Danio rerio: one gene and its partner. The protein of the gene in region 1 purifies or fractionates together with the protein of each later gene. This does not show direct contact. Links are inferred from orthologs where the notes say so. Each region holds a gene or a part of one and is shown on either strand. Other genes may lie near its edges.

The links.
Region 2: the proteins of rfc1 (region 1) and rfc2 fractionate together in Homo sapiens (co-fractionation; 5 studies listed by BioGRID and IntAct, with this or other methods). This does not show direct contact. The link is inferred for Danio rerio from reciprocal best matches to the Homo sapiens genes RFC1 and RFC2.

What each region holds. Positions count from the first base shown.
Region 1 is NC_133176.1:24,837,333-24,849,218, reverse strand, and holds the start of rfc1 (replication factor C subunit 1), read left to right. Parts: upstream 1-5,626; 5' UTR 5,627-5,720; coding exon of another isoform or gene 5,721-5,723; 5' UTR 5,724-6,422; coding exon 6,423-6,425; intron 6,426-6,511; coding exon 6,512-6,625; intron 6,626-6,715; coding exon 6,716-6,782; intron 6,783-8,210; coding exon 8,211-8,312; intron 8,313-8,417; coding exon 8,418-8,722; intron 8,723-11,886. Other genes in the region: rpl9 (large ribosomal subunit protein uL6), read left to right, coding at 168-213, 298-413, 2,406-2,501, 2,592-2,724, 2,835-2,915, 4,306-4,415. UniProt on the Homo sapiens protein: Subunit of the replication factor C (RFC) complex which acts during elongation of primed DNA templates by DNA polymerases delta and epsilon, and is necessary for ATP-dependent loading of proliferating cell nuclear antigen (PCNA) onto primed DNA.
Region 2 is NC_133196.1:26,654,979-26,666,802, reverse strand, and holds the start of rfc2 (replication factor C subunit 2), read left to right. Parts: upstream 1-5,928; 5' UTR 5,929-5,991; coding exon 5,992-6,101; intron 6,102-6,231; coding exon 6,232-6,301; intron 6,302-6,385; coding exon 6,386-6,427; intron 6,428-6,514; coding exon 6,515-6,621; intron 6,622-8,505; coding exon 8,506-8,607; intron 8,608-8,711; coding exon 8,712-8,812; intron 8,813-10,142; coding exon 10,143-10,300; intron 10,301-10,466; coding exon 10,467-10,532; intron 10,533-11,338; coding exon 11,339-11,419; intron 11,420-11,505; coding exon 11,506-11,619; intron 11,620-11,824. Other genes in the region: syncollin-like, read right to left, coding at 186-599; syncollin, read right to left, coding at 2,695-3,099.

The DNA of each region.
Region 1 (11,886 bases):
ATACTTTTCTTTATATACTTGAAATTTTCGCGTATAATTAAAATTCAATTCAAGGCTAAAAATTGTGCTATTGAGGCGACTCGAGAAGTTTGTCTTGGCTAACGTAGTAGCACGTAGTATCTGCTCGAATCATTTAAGGGTTTCTAACGTTGCTCTATCGTTTCAGAATGAAGACCATTCTCAGTAACCAGACAGTGGACATCCCTGACAATGGTACGTCAAATATCATACTTAACGTTTGAAACTATTTACACGTTTGTGTCTAAAGCAACATCAATTTCGTTTCTTTGCTTGCAGTCACGGTGTCCCTCAAGGGCCGCACAGTTACCGTGAAGGGACCCCGTGGTGTTCTCCGCCGGGAGTTCAACCACATTAACCTGGAACTCAGTCTGTTGGGCAAGAAACAGAAAAAGGTTTGTAGCTTAGTTTTGATATATGGGCCTGAAACTGCATTGTGTATCATTCTTGCTGGAGTTGTTAAAATGCAACAATGCATTTATTAATGACTTATAAAGCCTTCATGTACGTTAAACATCTGAGCTGGTCCAGTCAAATTCATTCCAAATAAAATGTCTATTGAATTATTATACATAAAATGTCTATCTACTTTGCATAATGCAACTAAACTAAGTACAAAACCTTTTTGAGTGCAATTTGACATTTCTCAGTGTTAATGTCTTTTATATTTTGGATGTTTTGCAAGTTCAATTTCAAGAATATGAAATTAAGTTTAAACATTTCCTCCCACTCTGCCTGCAAGCTTAATAAGGTCGATGTAGTGCTTTTTCCACGAACTTCTGTACCTGGTGCTTTGTTTTACTGCCACTTTAGGTAATCTTCCAAACCAGTTGTAACATTAGCAAAATGTAGTGTTCGTATACACACTGCTGATCACTGATGGTTCTGAGAAAATTGGCACTTCTAATGTTATTGGATTTGTGACAAGAGACTTAAAAGCCACTATAATGAAATGGTCAGCAGCGGCCAATGCTGTATTGTTGGGTGGCATAACTAAATAGTTTTTATCCACTGCAAAAAGTAGACACCTGAAATGGCAGCATTGGGGTCAGTAGAAAAGTTCCAGAGATTTCTCTTGTTTGTAGCTTAGGAGCTAAATGGGATGACTTGGAATGAAAACATTAAGCAGTAGAGAGGGCACAGCTATAGCTATGATCCCACCTCTTTAAGTGCTACTAAATGGCAGTGGAAGTCGAGCCTAGCGAAACCAAGCTGTACTGTATCACTCAGTGGAAAAGTAGCATAATGTGCGTAAAATATTGTACAAATATTGTAGTTGCTTTCCACAGCCGCTTGGCATAGGTTTGCTCTTTCAGTAGTTTGTGCTATAATTAACTCTATGTAAAAGTGGTGTAAAATGTACCAACACTTGTTCAAAATTAGCGAGTAATGCTTTGTGGCTGTTTAGTAGGGTAAATTCACAGCTAGTATTTCTTCCCATACAGATAAACCTCCAGTTAATGGACTTTTCAATTTTGTAGGATTCCTTTTACAACATTTATGTTACAATGTAATTAAAATATAATCAATTAACTAGACTTATGCATTTATTTTTTTCATGTAAAACAAATGAAATGCCATTTACACGCACATGCTGTCAGGATCAGCAGACGACTGCAGAAACTCCATTGAAAATACTGGGGGGAAATCATTTTTTATATTTTAAAGACATGATGTGGTAAAACATCATTTGATGCAGTGCCTCTTGCACGTCCTGAGACCTACTTTTTATCGTATAGCAAATCAGGCAGTGGAGATTGTTGTTTTTTTAAGAAAACAGACTTTGCGCAGATTTTGTCACTGCATACAGTTCACCGAAATCAATTGACCCAGGATGCTGAAAATAAAAAGGCCATTTGCATATACCCTGTCATGCATGTTAGTACTTGTTGTAAATAGAGGCCATCATATTATGCTGTTTCAGACACAAATCTGATCAATTCTGCATTGAAATGTTTGATTTTTGACCTCAGTGGGTTCTAGCTAGTTACACGTCACTGTTGCATATTCACCATGTGTGGTGTGAATAATGTTTTATAACACAGATGAAATGAACAGAAAATGCGTGATGTGTCTTGTGCTTTTGACTATCTTAGAAATAGCCTTTAGTAGGGTTTCCACACTTTGTGCTAGTAAAATACTTTTGAGTTTCACATAAGGTAGCTCCACAGTAATCTCACTGCAGTTGATCTAGCTGCCGTCTGTGAAGTGATTTAATGATGGTGTCTCTGGGGTGTTCAAATGAGTTGACAGGTTGAAATATGACTTAAAGCAGTATCAGATGTGATTTCGAAGAAATAAAAGTCCTAATTTCAGGTTGTTTGGAAGGGAGCATAAGTTTGTTATATCAGCTAATTTTTATTTTTACATTATTTTTTTCATTTCAGCTGCGTGTGGATAAGTGGTGGGGTAACCGAAAGGAGTTGGCCACCGTCCGCACCATCTGCAGTCATGTCCAGAACATGATCAAGGGTGTCACCCTGGTAAGGAGTGTAATGTGTTGGTGCTCTAATTTTTTCCCAATCATATTAAATAAATAAGGACTGCCATAAAATGCATCTTTTGTTTCCCAGGGTTTCAGGTACAAAATGCGATCTGTATATGCCCATTTTCCCATTAATGTGGTCATCCAAGAGTCTGGCTCTCTGGTGGAGATCAGAAACTTCTTGGGAGAGAAGTACATCCGCCGTGTCCGCATGAGGCAAGGTGAGTCTGCATGTTGTCTGAATTAGCCTAATGTTTTAGCATAATTTGTGTAGTCCTGCTCTGTATGAAATTTGACTTCATAAAACCGATGTTTACTTTTTGTTGTGTAGGAGTTGCATGTGCAGTGTCTGCCGCTCAAAAAGACGAGTTGGTTCTGGAGGGTAATGATATTGAGCTGGTGTCAAACTCAGGTGAGCATCTATTTACGATGTGGTCTGTCAATATATGACAAAAACCTGAAATATTCACTGCTTTATGAATTGAAATGGGATGGTGAGAGTAGAATTTCCCTGTTATTCTAGTTCTAAAGGCCTATATAAATTTTTATATATTTTATACATTTATTATGATTTTTTTGACCAGCTTTATCTTTATACGGTCCCAATTCCAAATTCAGTTAGATACTATATTGATTTGTTATACTTAAATGTTACTTAAAATAATAATTTAGCAGACATCTTTGAATATAAATGCTTTCTGGCTGAAACCCTTTCGCTGTTGCTGTGATGAAATGAAAGTGGTTGTGCCAAACAAAGGGTTTCTCCTAGTTATCTTTTTGTTACTGTTTTGTTTAATTCCAATATTAGATCAGATTTTGTGCTTTTTCCTAAATTCCAAAAGTGGCTTATCCAGCATTTTATACATTAAAAAGTAAAGTAAAAACTAGTTTGGATAAACAATCTAAACCATTTTTTTTATTTTAAATGTTTAATAATTACATTTTACATGGCTCTTCTTTTTTACTGGATTGTGCAGATGTGTAACTCTAAACCTAGACTGTTCCCCTTCATACAGTATGAATCCCTTTGTTTTATTTGCTCTTACCTGCAGGTCCTGATGTGGTGTTTAATCTTCTGTGAACGTTTATAGCCTCCTTTTTCCCTCTCCTGACATCCTTAACCCTTGATTACATAACATGAGTGATAGAAAAGACTGTGTTTGTGACTCTTTGTATGCAAGATGTGTGTGAGAGGAAGTGTGGAATTATTGAAGTGTGTGCATGCCTCACCTCCCTAGCATTTCTTGTTTCAGCGGCCCTCATCCAGCAGGCAACCACAGTGAAAAATAAGGATATCAGAAAGTTCCTGGACGGTATTTACGTCTCTGAAAAAGGCACTGTAGTGGAGGCAGAGTCATAGAGAACCGAGAGGTTAGAACGAGACCGCCGTACAGGGTGACAGGAGCCACTGCTGCCCATCGCCTTTCATTCGCCTCTTTCCTGCTTCTCGTCTTTGAAGCTGTCCGTTGTGTTGTCTTCCATGCTCTGTTAAATATGTCCAATCTTTTTTTGATAGTGCCAAATTTCAATTCATGCCATTTTCAGACTGAGTTGTCTGTCTCTTACAAGCCAAGTAGCTTTTTTTACACTAACTTTACAGGATTTTGTGTCCCTCTTTTGCATGTTCACATTCATCCAAGCATGACAACACTTAACAAGGCTTTTGAGTCCACAGCTCTAACCACTGGCTTGGTTTGCATGTTACATGTCTATTTTGTAGCACATGGGAGTTTGTGGGTGCACCGCCTTTCTATTTAAAACAGGTCTGTCTCTAATGAGTTGTCTTTTCTTCTGTCCATCAGCTGCTCTGATCCAGCAGGCCACCACTGTGAGGAAGAAGGACATCCGGAAGTTCCTGGATGGGATTTATGTCAGCGAGAAGGGCACAGTGGTGGAACAGCAAGAGGACTAAATTAGTCTCTGTAAAATCTGTCAATAAAGACCAACTCCATTTTTCAATCATATATGTGTGCAGGAGTTTCATTCATGTTGATACTGTCTAGTTTCATGAAAGTCTTTAGTTAATGAGGGTTAATGTGCATGTAGTAGAATATGAGCTACGTGTATTGGAAAAACTTGATCGCATTCTTTTGTATTCACTGTTTTTTGGTCCAGATGTAAAAGTATGTTTTAGTTTCTTGTATATAAAACAATACACAATCTAATGAATTAACATTTTAGAATGAACGCAGCCTGCCCTCGGCTCAGTAGAATTTACAAAGTAAAGCACAAAAAGAAATGATGAAAGCATGTCGTCATTGAATTGCAAATATCCAAAAAACAAAAATAAGGTTCTGTGTAATCAAAAGAATTCTAAGAGCAGTTTTTAAGGATTTGAAAGCTGTGTGTGGTCTGTCCTGAACATGTAAACGTCCACATGGCAGGTGTTTTGCTTTTTGTGTATTTGGCCCTTTTTCAAATCGTACTAAATGATTCACAGAGCATGAAGATCAGTAGTAGGATTTGCTTTCAAAAAGTTAAAGGTAGTCAGAGGTTAATACTTTTACTTTTTCCTAGAATTGCAATTTATTTACCTCAATTATCTGATTTACATCTTCGCATTTCTGCTTTTAATGCATTGTGTTGCCATCTTAACCAGTGTTGATATATATATAATATCGTGGAGATGATTGCATTCAAATAAATTTTCCATAGTATTAAGTTGCCCAATAATCTTAACAAATAGTTGTATAAAGTCTTACATCTGTGCATGGAACATCCGCATAACCCAAATAAAGGCATCACTGCAGGATATTTAGGAAAGCGCAAAAACTTTTAAAAGTTTTTTTAAAGCGTGTATTTGGTCATCTGCTGCGAAAACATTTGAAGAATTACTACAGGTCCTGAAAAAACAAACATTTATATGATAAAGAATTAATTACATATTGTGATTCAGTTTGTAACATTGATCAATGATTTCTCACAATTCACAGTTGGCGGGGTAGTTTCATTTCACCAACTTTAAAATATTTATTTTAAAATTAAATTTTACTATGTGCAGTTTTAAGAAGGAAGGAAGGAAAGATTAGCATGTTCGCTGTCTCTGCATCTGCTGCGTGCGTTTGTCTCCCTCCCTCTCTCTCTCTCGCTCTCCATCTGCGCGTCATCACACTGCGCCTCCCTGTTGATTATCATTGGCGCCAAAGAGGATTGGAGAAGCAATACCTGCCCGCAGCTTGTTCAAAAATAAAGAAAATATTTAGACATATGATTAGCAATGGTGAGTCGCTTAATTAATGCACTGTCTGTAGAAGTAAAGACACAATCAGAGACGAGGTCGGTGTAGCTGATCAAGCTAAAATAAAAGCAGCTCGAACTTGCAGCCTTTAACGTTACTTGTTAATTAGCAGATTAACTTAGGCTACAAAAATAATAAATCATACATAGGCTATTTATGAATTTTGGAGTCCGTGTTTGCGTCGTTTGTTTTTAAGCCTTGGTTGTTTACGCCATGGTTGAGAAACATAAAAAGTGTGAATAACTTAATGATCAAGATCAACTGTCTTTGTCAACAGCACACAGTCAATATGAGCTTCAGTTTTTCATATATAAGTTAACTACAGGTGTTTGTGCTTTACCACCTGCTTCCTGTTTGTTATTGTCGACTTTGAAATGTAAACAGTCAACAACAAATTCATCCATGCGGTTACTATGCTACTTGCTCTGCTCTGCACGTTTTGTAGCTTATGTAATTTTAAAGTAAAAAATAAAATAAAATAAAGAATAAACTGTGTGTTTATATAGTAAAGCCCGAAATTATTCATACCTCTGGCAAATTCTGACTTAGCAAGTTTTTCAAGGGACCTTAAGACGATGCACATCGAGAGACATCATTCTGTAAACAAATGTTTCTCACCTCTTATTTACATTTGAAGAAAACTGCACTAGTGTATGAATAATTTTGGGCTTGCCTGTGTGTATGGTATGTATGTATATGTATGTTTGTTTGTTTGTTTGTTTGTGTGTACACATGTTCGCAAGTCTCTTATTCAGCAATGCTCATTTCAGGACATCCGGAGGTTTTTTACGTCCACCAAGCCTGTGGCCCAGAAAGCTTCAAATGGAAGCACAAGCACAAGTACTGATGAAGAGCAGAAGAAGAAACAAAAATCAAGACCTAAGGTAAAATGACATGTGAACAACATTCATTTGCATGCTGATGTTGTGTGCATCGTGCCGTGTCATAGAGTCTCTCTTTCTTTCTTTCTTTAGGTCAAAAGCTCCACATCTGATGAGAAACCCAGCGGGAAAAGAAAGAAAAGAGTTATAGTTGATTCAGGTTCATATTCAGAGTTGATTAAACATTGATAATCAGGCTTGTTAAGATATGGATTCTGTTGTGTACATACAATAAATTAGTTCAGACAGAAGAAGAGTAGAATAGAATAAAATGGGGCTTTTAAAATAGGGTCCATCAAGAGACCATAAAGATGCTCTGTAAAAATGTTTTGATAAAGTAAAGATAAATAATATTTAAAAAGTTAAACCTGAAATTTTTATTTAGATTAGAGTTCCATTTAAAACAACTTTTTATAAGGTTTTAATGATTGAAGAATATGACTTAAAGGGCCACGAAACCCCCCTCTTTCGGTTTGAGTCTACCTCAGAATAAATAAAAAATGCTTCATAATGGGTGTGGAGCGCCGTGAGAAGAGGGAGGAGTGGGCGTGGCCGTCAGAGCAGGGGGAGAAAGAGGGAAGCGAACAACTTTTGTCAGTTGGCTCACAAAATGATACACAAACTGTGAGGAGACGCGTGATTTTATAGGTTGCAAAGTTAAAATGCAAAGTAATAAGCAGTAATTTAATGCCGTGCTACATTTGTTATTCGTAATTTCATATACACATAACCACAATTTGTTATATCATTATAAAGATAATAATTGTTTATATAAACACTATAATTGAGGAGGACTTCTCTCCTGAATCCCCGGGTCTGAATGCAGACATGGAGCAGTGCAGCAGGTCTCTTGCCCTATCTTTTTCAACCATTAACCCTGCCGATAATCTGGAGAATTTTAAAAATAAGCGAACACAGCAGCATGGTTATAGGGGATGTATCTGAATGGTAATGAACTCAACTGATAAAAGACAAAGTCTACCATTCTCCAATTTTTGTACAGCTCTCCCAACTAAAATTCTTGCTGCAAACCAACAGCTTTGCTGTATTGGCCCTAACAGCATTGCAGTGAAAAACAAGCAACAACAACAAGCAACAAACCAATAAACCTGCTTTCCGTACGCGGACTTGATCTCACCCACTCATTGGATCTCACAGTTTGGCAGGTCTATCTAGCCTTCGGAAAACATGTGCTCTCATGAATAATTAATAAGCAGGGTCTTTTCACAGGATCAGAAAGCTCTGCTATGAATAATAATAATAATGAAAAACTGACGCATCATCACTCCACTAGCATATTCGCGCTACATCACCGATTTTGATCCCGCCCAAAAAGTAATTTTAAACCCGGAAGATGAAATTAGTTGACAAAAGCTCAAAATTATCCAGGTTTTTCCACAATTAAAGTTGACAAGTGCTAACATTGTCTTAACTGATGTTCAAAACACACAAATCTGTTAAAATTTCCAAAAAGTTCGCAAGTATCTTGAACCTTTATGGTCCTGTGCATTAAGTCATCCTATTTGGCATCTAAAAATAAAAACCTGCCTGAGACATTCAGATGTTCTCCTCTCTCATCTTATATTAGACTCTGAAGAAGAGAAGAAGGTGAAGACCAAAAAGAGCACTAAAGAGACTTCTACTATCCCCACAGAGAAGAAACACCCAGTAACTTATGTGTCTGATTCTGGTGAGGAAGTCATCAAATAAATTTCATCCTGCAATATCAGTTGGTTTTCAGCATTATATTATACCTCCGCATAATAATTTTCCCTCTCTCTGTATATTTGTTCAGATTCGGATGGAACATTTGAGACTCTGAAAAAGCCCAAACCTAAAGAGAATGGAACGGCTAAAGGCAAGAAGGAATCAGATTCAGGAAAAGCAAAACAAGTGAAAGTCTCCTCCAGCAAATCCCCAGTCAAATCCCCCAGCACGGTGAAGGGAGGGGTGAAGAGTTCTCAACCCACCATTTCCCCTAAGGTGGCACCAACCCCACCAAAACAGATGCCCACATCAGTAATGGCTTTTTTTGGGAGTTCAAGTGTTCAGAGGTCGGAGAAGAAAATGGTGGCCAGTAGCAGCACTAAGAGGAAGGCAGTGAGTACAGAGAATGAAAATTGTTTGTGTTTGCTTGCTTAAAATTGGGGCTGGGACAACAAATCAATGCATTGCAAATCGAGAAATGATTCTGCATCAATTCTTTGTCTTTCTGATTGCGTTTTGATTCTCTCTTAAATCAATTCTGAGCTTAGTATTTACTGCCAGATTAGTGCTTTTTTTAACAAACAGTCATACTTTACCAGTCCTTAGGGCTGGTACACACTGGTACATTCACATGTATGTGACGGGTAGTAAGCGGAAGGGCTAAGGTGCAGAATTAAAACTGGCCCTAAGTTTATGGAGAGTGTGGATACGAAGGCCTGACATCAGTAGCAAACAGCCAACCAGCAGGATTTGAAACACATTGTCTTTGGTGGGTGTGTCAAAAATGTCAGCATAGCAGCAACATGTATGTAAACAATGTGCACAGCTCACAAATGAGTTCAAGTAAAGTTGCAGTAAAGTCACTGCAGCTATGTACACAAAACAATTGGAGGTATTTTAGTTTTTTAGTAGGAGTTCTATAGTAGCAATATAGCATATCAACACGGTGTAGCTTTTTTTATTTTATATAGTAAGTTTATATACCAAATTTCATAAACTAATTATTTTGGTATGTAAATATTTTTGGTATTTGGCTATGTAATTTTTACTGATGGGGCAACAAAGGCATAGTTTGATGACTGCGACTGAGTGTGGAATGACAGGAGTCTTCATTACATCCTATGGGACTGCTGATTTAGACTCTGATATAGAAAACCCACCAGTGTGAAAGCACCAACAAATACGTAAATGTCACGTTTGCTTTGAAAATACCTCATTTTTGATACTGTGATTCACTTTTGCAGTCAATGTGATTCACTCACATATTAAAAGATTCAAAATCCTGAATTTAAAGAGATTCAACTCTTTATCTACCGATTCTAAAGCTTATCTATATTACATTTTATGCATATACACTTACCAGCCACGTTTTTAGATACACCTTACTAGTACCGGGTTGGACCCCTTTTACCTTCAGAACTGCTTTTGTCTTTCAAGGCATAGATTCAATAAGGTACTGGAAATATTCCTCTGAGATTTTGCTCCATATTGACATGGTAGCATCACATAGTTGCTGCAGATTTGCCAGCTGCTCATTCATGATGCGAATCTCCCGTTCCACCACATCTCAAAGGTGCTCTATTGGATTGAGATCTGATCACTGTGGAGCCATTTAAGTACAGTTAACTTATTGTTATATTTAAGAAACCAGTCTGAGATTCGTGCTTAATGACATGGTGCATTATTCTGCTGGAAGTAGCCATCAGAAGATGGGTACACTGTGGTCATAAAGGCATGGACATGGTCAGCAACAATACTCAGGTAGGCTGTGGTGTTGACACGATGCTCTATTAGTACCAATGGGCCCAAAGTGTGCCAAGAAAATAACCCCCCACATTGATACATGGCAGGATGGATCCATGGTTTCATGTTGTTGACACCAAATTCTGACCCTACCATCTGAATGTCACAGCAGAAATCGAGACTCATCAGACCAGGCAACGTTTCTCCAATCTTCTTCTTAATTTGGGGTGCCTGTGCTAATTGTAGCCTCAGTTTCCTGTTCTTAGCTGACAGGAGTGGCAACCAGTGTGGTCTTCTGCAGCTGTTGCCCATTCCCCTCAAGGTTCGATGTGTTTGCATTCAGAGATGCTCTTCTGCATACCTCGATTTTAACAGCAATGATTATTTGGCCATTCTCTGGTCATTCTCCTCCAACCTGGCACCAACAACCATTCAAAGTTCAAAGTCACTTAAATCACCTTTCTTCCCTATTCTGATGGTTGTTTGCAGCAGATCGTCTTGACCATGTCTACATGTATAAATCAAGTGTGCCGCAAGCCTACGTTTGAGTGAAGGTTTCGGCCGTTAGATCGCCCCCTGGGGGCTGGCTGCAGTACAAGTCATAAAGCCCGCCTCCTCCGTGTTAATGAAGGAGACTTGAGCCCAAATAAAAAAAAATATTACACTTGCAATAAAATGTCCCGAAAGATAGTTCTGGTCGATTAAGGCACTGGTTATTGTGCTGAAATAGGTGCAGATCTTCATTTTTGTAAACAGTTTGTTTTTAGCAGTAATTTAATGCTGGGCGTGTCATCGTGATTGACAGCTGTGATTGACAGTTTCTCAAAGCGCGGCGTCTGAGCTTCGGCAGGAGACTGAAGTAGACTGAAATGTTATTATTCGATTTCTGTGTTATTTTACCATGACAACATGAGTTCAGCAGTAAACTATAGTTTCTGACATACATGATCCTGGTGGAACACTGTTTATTCGCTAAGTTCAGGGCTTTTTTCGGGCTTTATTAGTTTGCTGATACACGCCTAGCCACCCAGATAGCAAAACACAGTTCCGGCTAGATTCTCGCCTGCCGGAGACTTATCTCTTAGAGCTCAGACTGACTAACGTTACCTCTGCTGGACCTACTCCGGATGCCTGGACTCACTACCCAATTCCAGCCGAGTCAATCGAGCCAGATGCGGCGGCCGAGCGAGCAGGCGCTGCCGCATGCGAGCCGGAATCAGCCCGCGACGCCGCGAGTAAGTTATGCGCTGCGGCCCGGAGCTGGCGCGATTGAATATATAAAACCCTCATATTTGTTAACGTTATTACATCCATTTGTGTTGATATGACAGCAAACGCATGCTGAGAAGTTCGGGGGGCGTAGTTGATTTTACATAAAGCGTTTGATTGGAAGCTCGACTCTGCTCATTTTCGCGGCTCCTCCTCTGGCTCCATCAGACAGTCCTTCTGCGCATGTCTGGCTCCAATTTCAGCAGTGTTTTGCGACAGTTTGTACCCGTCAAGCAGGCGTTTTGCCCTCAAGGCGTTCAATGGGAAAAAGGGCTGTCGCGTCGTCCATATTTTTTACAGTCATTGGTATAAATGCATTGAGTTGCTGCCATGTGATTGCCTGATTAGAAATTTGCATTAATGAGTAGTTGACAGGTGTACCTAATAAAGTAGTCGGTAAATGTATATTTATGCTGTTTTGAACTAAAACCTTAACCTATATTGGATTAGGGATATAATAATTAGACATATGTAAAATAATTATAATAAATATTTTTTTCTTTGCTAAATGCCACATGTTTATTTTTTTAAATGGTTCACCGTCA
Region 2 (11,824 bases), on another chromosome or scaffold:
AATTATGCACCAGGTCTTGAATATTTCTGCTTTACATTCTTGCAAACATGTGATGTTTAATTTAATTAATTAAACAGAAATATAGTAAGCTGAAATTATAATTGTGTCTGAAAACACAGAATTACAGCTGTTCTCTTGTGTCCCTGAAATCATACATTTATGTTTTTGAGTCTCTGTTTTTAGGTCTAGCATGTGCAGTAAAATCCAGAGATGGCGTCATTCCAGTTTCCGAACAGGCCTCTCTTCACTTCTTTCAGGTGGTAGACAACACCAGCAAGAAACTTCCTTTTGTTTCCCTTCTTCTTGGATTTGGACCATACTGTCAGTGAGCATCCGCGTCTCACCACCAAAGAGGATACATGGTTCTCCCAGGTCTTTGGCATGATGGGGGTGTCTTCATCAGGATACACATTCAGAAAACTGCCAGTGCAGCTCTCGTCATAGTAGTAGCTGCTGTGCTCAAACATCTGGGCACAGAGTTTGCTGCCATGGTCGTCTTTCAGTGTGGCATGATCAGGACATGCTGCGTTGAGGCCCTCGAGGCACAGAGCCACCAGGAGAAGAGCAATCAGACCCCTCATGTTTTCAGTGTGGTGCATAAAATGACATCTCTCAGCCTTACTTATATAGATAAAGATCTACATATAGATGACGTATGTGAGAAACGTCAGGTTGTCCAGCAGCTTTCTGAAGGTCATTTTTCTGTTAAATAAGCTACTCCACACACTGTTAAAAACTGCAAATTATGTATTTATTATACTAAAATATTAGTTAAGTGCTAAGTATGTACAAATAAATTTATATAATATATCTATCTATATATTCAAAATATCTTTGGCAATTTCTTTCAAATATATCCGATCAAACTGTTTTTTCCAGTACCTTCTAAATAAAATGTATGCATCATTCAAAAGACGGTATCTTTTTGTATGCTCTGCTTATAATTGAACATGCAGGTATTTTAAACTAACACACAGGTGCATGGCCACATGTCTTCAGAGGCAGACTCTCATGTAACAACTTATGGAAACCAGCCATATGACTGACTTTCATTCAATAAATAGAAGTGGGGAAAAGTGCATGTCTTAGAACTTTTGGATTTTTATTTTAGTTTGAAACAAATAAACAGACACATACCAACAGGGAACTTGTAATAAAGTTATGAATTAAGGTACTTCCAGTAACATTAATAAAACATTTGTTCAGAAATTAAGCAAAGGAAAACTAGGGGCACAACATACACAAAATATATGGTGAGCATGACAATAATCGAGTAAATTATTATCCAATATTTTATTATATATTATATTTTATTAAAAGTAACATTCACATAAAAAAGCAAATGTTTAAATTCTGATTCAAAATTTTTGGATAAATGATCCTCATATCTGAGATAAATGAAATATGCTAAAAACTTTGTTGGCCATTTAATGTGTTTGATGTTGAAATATTTAGCTTTATGGTATCAACATATTTGTACCCCTGCAGGAAGTTTTATGACCCCGCAGCTTTTTATTAATTCTGATGCACGCATTATCAGTCACATTGCTGCTTGGGTGTTTGTATATTATTTTTTCAGCTGAGGATGATATGCAGTAGTTGATAATTATGTGGAAGGAGATCTAATAGTAAAAAATATATATAAATTGTATTGTATAATCACTTTTACAATATTATTATATATTATATAATCACTTTAATATATATATATATATATATATATATATATATATATATATATATATATATATATATATATATATATATATATATATATATATATATATATCATATAATCACATTTCCTAAAAACTATGCAGAAACTCTTTGATTGACATTCTCCCTTTGTACGTACATGTCATCAGAGGTAAAAAGCCTTTTAAGAAAATTAGCTTGTTTCACTAACTGTCATTCCTACTTATTAGTGTGCACAGTAGAAGTCCACTATATGGAGAAATTTTATATATTTTTTATTTTGGAAAAGAACTAATACAATCAAGACAACAGCAATGTGTAAATACTTGAGAAGAATTTAAACTGAAAATCTGGGTTCTATTTACAATAAGGTCCCATTTGCTAATGCACTGTGATCTAACAAGGAATAACAATAAATAACTGCATTAACTAACATTAACAAACACTGAACGATTCATTTATCACAGTATTTATTCATCTTTTTAACATTAGTTTATGAAAATGCAGTCGTTCATTGTTTTTCCCTGTTAACTCACATTGTATTAACTAATGTTAACAAACACAACAGGATTTTAATAATGCATAAGTAAATATTGATAATTCAATATACTGTACTAAATTTTTCATCTTTAGATCATGTTAGCAAAATATATTAACTAACATGAACTAATTGAACCTTACTGTAAAATGTGACCAGAATCTAAACACTGTTCTGTTGTCTCATTAATGTCATGGTATTATTGTATTTTTAGTTATTCCAGTCTGCAGATCTCCAGGCTTTATGATACACAGTGACAGAGGAAAACTCTAATAAGTAATGGACACATCATGTTTAATAAACCAGCAGGGTCATGTCAGTCTGGCACATACCTAAAACCAACTGAAATGGGAAACCTCTGGTCTACCAACAGATGCTGTGAAGGCTGGGAATTCAAACAGCTTTGACCATCTGATGGGCCGACTATCTTATATAACTTTGATGAAAGGGTTAGACAGTCTTTATTCTGTCAAAAAGGCTCTAGTCTGATTATGTGCCAAGTCATTCCAGTTTCCGAACAGGCCTCTCTTCACTTCTTTCAGGTGGTAGACAACACCAGCAAGAAACTTCCTTTTGTTTCCCTTCTTCTTGGATTTGGACCATACTGTCAGTGAGCATCCGCGTCTCACCACCAAAGAGGATACATGGTTCTCCCAGGTCTTTGGCATGATGGGGGTGTCTTCATCAGGATACACATTCAGAAAACTGCCAGTGCAGCTCTCGTCATAGTAGTAGCTGCTGTGCTCAAACATCTGGGCACAGAGTTTGCTGCCATGGTCGTCTTTCAGTGTGGCATGATCAGGACATGCTGCATTGAGGCCCTCGAGGCACAGAGCCACCAGGAGAAGAGCAATCAGACCCCTCATGTTTTCAGTGTGGTGCATAAAATGACATCTCTCAGCCTTACTTATATAGATAAAGATCTACATATAGATGACGTATGTGAGAAACGTCAGGTTGTCCAGCAGCTTTCTGAAGGTCATTTTTCTGTTAAATAAGCTACTCCACACACTGTTAAAAACTGCAAATTATGTATTTATTATACTAAAATATTAGTTAAGTGCTAAGTATGTACAAATAACACAACAGGATTTTAATAATGCATAAGTAAATATTGATAATTCAATATACTGTACTAAATTTTTCATCTTTAGATCATGTTAGCAAAATATATTAACTAACATGAACTAATTGAACCTTACTGTAAAATGTGACCAGAATCTAAACACTGTTCTGTTGTCTCATTAATGTCATGGTATTATTGTATTTTTAGTTATTCCAGTCTGCAGATCTCCAGGCTTTATGATACACAGTGACAGAGGAAAACTCTAATAAGTAATGGACACATCATGTTTAATAAACCAGCAGGGTCATGTCAGTCTGGCACATACCTAAAACCAACTGAAATGGGAAACCTCTGGTCTACCAACAGATGCTGTGAAGGCTGGGAATTCAAACAGCTTTGACCATCTGATGGGCCGACTATCTTATATAACTTTGATGAAAGGGTTAGACAGTCTTTATTCTGTCAAAAAGGCTCTAGTCTGATTATGTGCCAAGTTGCTGTTTTTGCTAAGTTTATGCTGTTTTACTGCTTACAGGGTAATCTAGAAATTTAGAAATAAAAATTAGCTTGGAGTTATTACATGTTTTTAGTGTGTTTGTATGACTAACGTCTGATATCTTGACTTACACAATTTTATATTTAGTGTTCAATAACTATATATAGCAAATTTCTTTCTTGGGTTAAGAATTTATCAACCTGGGTCAGATGCAGTCATCAGACATGTACAGAGGTTGTTTTTCACATTGTTCTGTCATGTATGTGACATGTATGTGATGATAAAAATGTATCATAAGTAAGTAAAGAAAAGTTGGCAGATTTTATTCTTTTTTTTTGACATTTCATCACTTTGGATTTATAATGTTCTCTCTGAGAGCTCTTCACATTTTTCTATTCATTCATTCTTTCATTTTCTTGTCGGCTTAATATCTTTATTAATCCGGGGTCGCCACAGTGGAATGAACCGCGAACTTATACAGCAAGTTTTTATGCAGCAGATGCCCTTCCAGCCGCAACCCATCTCTGGGAAAATGTTTCTATTTTGTTACAACCTATTTACATTTTGTGATTTTGAGCGTGTGTGACTGTGTGTGTACATTTTTATTTACTAAACTTAATCTTATAAAACTTAAAATAAATATAATTTTGCCAAATAAAAGTTGCTAATGCTTCTCAAAAGCACTTAAAATGATAATTAAATTTAAAAAAAGCTATTTTGTGTAAAATACTTTTCAAGACGTTTGTGTAACATTTCTTGTAGAAAGATTGGTTCTTACTATAACATTATATTTAAGTAAATGCTGTTGATGCTTATTGTTTAATAAATGAAAATATCCCTTGCACACCACAGAAAACATCAGCCATGCAGGCAGTGCAATTTTTGGATGTACTGAACTCCACATCCTTTATTTATGCAGATCTTGTTGCGATTGGTATCTTTAGCACTTGTTTTTGGGTCGGACATTGTGTTTTCAGAGCTGCTAGTATCTAAGCTATTATCTTCATGTTTTCAGTCTCTTTAGGGATTATTGTCCTAGATTTGAATGCAAAGAGATAATCTGATCCATTATAAATCTTCATGTTGGACAACGTGCTCAGAAAGTTAGGAGATTCAACAGACTTCACTTTAATTCAGCAAGCCAGTTTTTTTTTTTTTTTTTACAGCGTAAAACCATTACAATTATGTGTGTGTATTTATAATATCTACTCATATTGTGTTAAATCTATTTTAGCTTTGTGCAGCAATGTGACAGTTTGGTCTAAAATATATTCAGAAAAGTAATTCTCTTAAAATAGACAGTATAAAACAATATGTGTGTGTTTGTAGTTTACAAACAATGTAACAAAAACATTTGTAACAAAAATATTCATAAAAGATATATATCATTTAAAATACATTTAAAATAGGCACGCTATTATTCTTGATTCTTCCCTAGCAAAATACGATCCTTGTTCATACACGATCCTTGTTAGATCCGTTATACCATATACAGTAGCTATATAAACATATACATTTACATTATATCACAATACATGCCAGGGAGCAAGAGAGAAATGTATCTTTTAAACATTTACAGTTTTTACAGCTTTCTTAATGGTCGATTCAGAAATTAAAGACATAAAACGATTTAGATCTTCAAGAAAAATCTGAAGAAAATAAAAACAGTTTACGCTTACAACGATTACATTTGTGTATAAAATATTTAGCCAAAAATATAATAGGATTAAATAAATACATCTGGAAGTTCATTCTGATGATTATATTCTAAAATAACGTTTCATATTTCAATAACATCGGTGATTATACCACAATACCCAATTCATGTTTACAAAATTCTTTTGGTAGATTCACAATTACAAAAAAGGTGAAACAGAACAGTTTGGTAACCGCAAAAGGAACCGTTTACATCAAAATCTTAAGAAATAAACCTTTGTAAAAATAAAAAGAAAGCTTTGTAGGATAGCACCTATGTATCATTTTATACTACACTTCATGAATTTTATTGTACTTACATTAGTAATCTCTGAGGTAAAAAGACTATACTCTTCCAGTTAATATTACCTATATTTTCCTTTCTAGTTTACAGTAACGTTAGTTGTGATGAAAAAGTCGCGCGCCCGTTGCCGGAAGTGGCGTCAATTCTGTTCTGTTTTGTTCCTGTCGTGGCGGGAATACGCGCTGCTGACGGGCAACATGGATGTTGAAATGAAAGAGACAGACAGTGAACAAACTCAAGCTGACGGACCGCCTAAAAAGGACGAAACTGCACCAAAACCCACAACGACTGCATATGAACTACCATGGTACGCTTTTGTGTGTGTTTTGTAGTATTTGGACGGGATTCATGTGGCTAAAGTTAGCACAGCAGCTGCAGCGGAATTGCTAAGCTCATGTCGAACATTAATTCTGGTGTAAATGCTATATTACTTGCAGGGTTGAAAAGTACAGACCTCTGAAGTTAAATGAAATAGTTGGAAATGAGGAAACTGTTAGCAGACTGGAGGTCAGTACTGTAACTTAAGTTACTGTGGTGAAAGTTTTGTGGAGGTGCTGACATGTTTCTTCATTTGTGTCGTTTTTGTCGCAGGTGTTTGCAAGAGAAGGAAATGTGCCCAACATCATCATTGCTGTAAGTAAACAATGCTGTCAGGTTGCAGTCTGATTGCACAAATGATTTGTCCTTGTGCATGTAAATAACAGTTGCATTTGTTTTCAGGGTCCTCCTGGAACTGGGAAAACCACCAGCATTTTGTGTTTGGCTAGAGCTCTGCTTGGCCCAGCCATGAAAGATGCTGTTCTTGAGCTGAATGCCTCAAATGACCGGTGAGAAACACACATAAACACCGAAGATAAAGAGATTGCACAAGTAATAGCACATACAAATTTTCCGTTTGAACCTATTATTAGAGGTTTGGTTCAGTGACTCACAATTCATAGAGGAGCCGGTTTAACATTTAAGCACAAATAATAAAGCGGAAACCTGAAGTAATTGATGCATTCTTCTCCAGAGTATCAAAGCTCCTTTTTGTTTCTTGTTGTACATATTGCAGTAGTTTAAATTGAAATGAAAATGAAAATGCTACAATTTTATAATAGGCATGGTAATAATAAATATTTTGTCCTAATCAATTGTTGCTTAACCAAAAGTTTAACAGAGCGTAAGACAGCAGAATGCATTTTGCGTAACTTTATTGACTTTACTGACTTTATAGACAAACTAAATTTGTCTATATTCACATTTACTTTTAACACGTTCAGTTCAGCCAACAGTTAGATTTTACTAATGTACATTTTTGTATACAAATTTCATTATGCATACGAGGAAAATCAATTAATGAGACTATTTGAGTCTATTATTATCAAGATGATCTTATTAATGATATTATTTACACCACCATCATAACATGTAAGCCATGAAGAGGTGTTTATACAACACGATACGGGTAGTATAAAACTGATTATAATCAAGTGATCCTAGAATATTTACAAAATAAAGCTTTAGTAAAAATAGAGCACTTGCGGACATGTTTTAACGTCCAAATCAGCCTCAGAAAAAATATGCATGCGCGTTACTCTCAACTGCACACTGAGAAAAAAACGAAAGTAGCCTGAATATATATTGCAGTACTTTTAATGTCCAGTACGTTGGACGTCAAAAATGCTGCAAATGGCCCGCAGGCCGGGAGTTTAAGACCCCTGTTCTACAAGCATACATAACTTCAATAAAGAAAAAAAAAAAAAACAGCATTGTATTGTTTACCGGGGAGTCAAACTCTATTCAGGTATGCAGTAATTGAGTAATCAAATGTAGAATGATACTGAATATTCTTCCTTTTATAAACAGTAATCAATAAAATTAATCTTTGTTAATTTGTCAAAGTTACAAACAGTACAGTTTCTTATTTTAAACCCTCACACAGTCACAGGGCTTAAAAAACACTTGCGAAATGATCAATTATAATCCAGACTCAACATAGACTATAGCCATGATGTGACTATTGCGATATTGATGCCGACACAATATATTGTGCAGCCCTAGATGAAGTGCAAGATCTCCCTCATCCTTCATGGACCACAACAATCTTGAAATGTTCATAGTCCAGAAATAAAACCCAAAACATTTCATGTGATGCCAGTAGTTCAACTGTATTCATACAAAGCCCAAACTCTTTTGTGCACCAAAAAAAAAAAAACTGTATAAAGCACTTTGTTGCCTATGTGTTCTGTGTCAAGTTTTGGTGCTTGTTTACTACAGGCAATACAAATGACTGTGTTGCACTGCTGATTCTAATTGCAATGCAGATGAGTGAGCTTATAGATTTCCTCTAAGATGAATGAAATGTGAATGGCAACTTTTCTGATCATAATTTTAGTCGTTTGGTACAAAACAGTGAAGTATGATTACCCCATTCTAGTCCATTTTCTCTCAACATGTTCTATAATTATCAAATTTGGTAAATAGGTAGTCTTTTGTGGCTATTTACACTATGAAAGCAATCTGCTCTAATGTGTTTTCGACTACCACTGTAAATAATCAAAAGTTTATTTAGTATTGAGCACAAGTTGACAAAAACACATTTTAAAAGCTGATGTAAACGACACTAAAATGTGAATCGATTTCACATATAATTTCTGTTCCTCAAAGGGGTCTTCTTTACCATTGCTGTTATAATGTCTGTTAATACATTTTTTTATTAATTATTTCAGTGGAATTGACGTTGTGAGAAACAAAATTAAGATGTTTGCCCAGCAAAAGGTCACACTTCCTAAAGGTCGTCACAAGATCATCATCTTGGATGAGGCTGACAGGTTAGACAGATTATTTTCTAACAATATTTCTATTATAACTGTTTATCTCAGTATTGCATGTATTACAAGTGCTTAATGTAAGTGTGTATTTATATTTCTAACAGTATGACAGATGGAGCTCAGCAAGCTCTCAGAAGAACAATGGAGATCTACTCCAAAACCACACGCTTTGCCCTGGCATGTAATGCATCAGATAAGATCATAGGTGAGAAACGTGACACAATACAGCTAAATTAGAAGTATGAACGTGTGTGAATTACTGGACCAGTCCCACTGCACTCCATCACAAACGTCGTTTTAAACATTTTGAAATGTCTAAAATGGTCTCATAATAATAAGTTGGTTAAAATGCCTCTCAAACTAACACATAAACTTGATTGTTGTTCTGCTTCTGAAAGCAAGATAACATAAATACCAGCGTTTGTTGTCTGGGCACTGAGGCGTTTATTATAAGGTGGAAAAGAACATGGCAGTTTTTCTAGATGCAAAAGCGTTGATTCAAAAAAAAAATCATATTGACCAGCTTCCCAGCATGTGATTTTTGTTGTATTAAAAACATGAGAAGAGGACTGCAATAATTCATTTTTGTCCATGATCTTTGATTCTCCATACTCCAGATGGTAAACAACACCCTGTTGCACACAAAATACTTAAAGAATTTCTTAGATTGACCAATTCAAGGCTTCTAAAATGTCTGAAGTTCATCAGATTATAACATGAAATGTAGCATATACAAAAAAAAGGGTTAATGTTTTTATTTTTCAAAATCGAAATATCTTTATATGATAGTATATACTGTTTCTTTAGAAGGTACAGTTTAAGATATTTCCATATTTTAATATTTTAGAGGAAATTTATTTATAAAATCTTTCATAAAAACAAGTAGATTTTTGTAAAGTGTGTCTTGTACAATCTGAGATGTCATTATATATGCCTATAAAAACTTGACTTTTTTTCTCTTGGTCTCTAAATTTATATTTACATTACACTGTGTTCATTGGGATAAACCCCTTGAGATGTGCCATTTTATTTTCAAGGGGGTCCCACAATTAATCACATAATAACATCAAAAGACAAAACATAACATAAAAAACAAGATAAAAGAAAGAAAGAAAAAAAAAGGGGGGGGGGTAGTATACATACATACATTTGTATATATACAAATTACAAAAATAATATACAAATCAGTGAATCCAATCACCACATAAATAATAACATCCTCAGGAAAAACAAGTACAATCCAAAGTAAAATATGAAAACAAGGTTTGCTTAAAGACCCTAAATGATGAAATGGATCGAATGTTACCAGGTAAATTGTTCCAATCTGTTGGACCCTTAAAATATTGTTGTAAATAATAAGGATTCTCAAAATGAATACATTTAAATATAAATTGAAGCCAATGAATATGTAAGTGAATATATATATATATATATATATATATATGAAATATGAAATTTACCCTTAAAAAACTTGCAGTAACCCTGAATAAAATACAGATAGCAGATTTTCATTTTGTCCTGTTATTCTGTCACAGAGCCCATCCAGTCGCGCTGTGCTGTGCTGCGATACAGCAAACTGCGAGACGAGCAGATCATGATGCGTCTGACGGAGGTGGTAGAGAAGGAAAACCTGCACGTCACCAACGACGGCCTGGAGGCCATCATCTTCACCGCTCAAGGAGACATGAGACAGGTCAGTCCAGTCAACAGAAAACACTCATAAAATAAATTCACAATATTTAGGTCAACTAAACACTAATGCGTTTGTTGTTAATTAAAAAAATAATAAAATAAAATGCAATTTTAACCACAAATGTAATATTCTTTAGCTTCATATTGTTAATGTTATTCTCCTCTAGGCTCTGAATAACCTACAGTCCACCAACTCTGGATTTGGATATATCAACAGTGAAAACGTGTTCAAGGTATTTTGGGCTGTTAGATTATTTTTCTCTAAAATCTTGCTTGCACTGTGGGATTTGGTTAGCCATGATTTGGTCGCCTGAGACAAATTTGGGAAATGTGTTTTTTTAATATTTGCACTTGAAATGAGACAGAGCAAAAATATTAGTACAAAATGTTTTTTTTTTTTTTTTGCATTGTAAATATTAAATTTCTGTACCTGAATGCTGTTTAGACTTCCCAAAAAACTTAAAAAAAAAAAAGCTATTCAAACCATCTTATGAAACTGTACTCCTATCGCAATATTTATTTTTAAGAAGAATAAAATATTGCAATATTAGATTTTTTCTTGCAGCCCTAATCTGTGCTCCTTGATCTTTGGTTTGATGTGTTCACCATCAGCCGTTTAATGACCACAGTATTCAAATTTTTCCTCTGATGAAGTTCTGGCAGTGTCAGAAAGTTTCAGACTCTTTCCTGCAGGGTGACTTCAGCTACAATGAGCATTAAACCAAAAACCAATAAAAGTGCTGAATATGATTAAGCAATCTGCACGACAAATGCTTGTAAATGTCCAGATTTTGTTTCTGGTTTTATCAATAAGCAACGATGTGAGCTAAATGACCACAACTGATTGTTTGCTGGGATAGTAAATGAGTCACAGATGAACAACTTCAAACTCCGGATGACATGGGTATTATTTTCGCACAGTCTGACAAGCTACAATCATATTATTAATAAGATTATTACAAATTGCGCCATGTGAGCCAGGCTTAACACACACACAAATATGTGTTAGTGAGGTGTAATGGTGTTGTTGTGTGTGCAGGTGTGTGACGAGCCACATCCTCTGCTGGTAAAAAGCATGCTAGAACATTGTGTTAATGCCAACATCGATGAAGCCTACAAGGTACCATTAAACATTCACTTTTGGAAATCATTCAACAATTATAAACACCGGATGAGAGAGATGATTCTCTCTGTGTGTTTCTGCAGATTATCGAGCAGCTTTGGTCTCTAGGATATTCACCAGAGGACATCATCGGAAACATCTTTAGAGTTTGCAAGACCTTTCAGATGGCAGAATATCTGAAGCTGGAATATATTAAGGTAACTTTCATTTGCTTTAACCATTGGGTCAATTTTAAAAAGTTGCACAGAGTAGCAAGTCAGAAATGATTATAAGTTAATTATATATTAATGTAATATTTAGTGATTTGACACAAATTTGTTTCATCAAATGACATAAATAACAAAAATTATTAAATGAAGATTTAAGCCTTCACACACTACCACTGATTTCATAATAAAAATC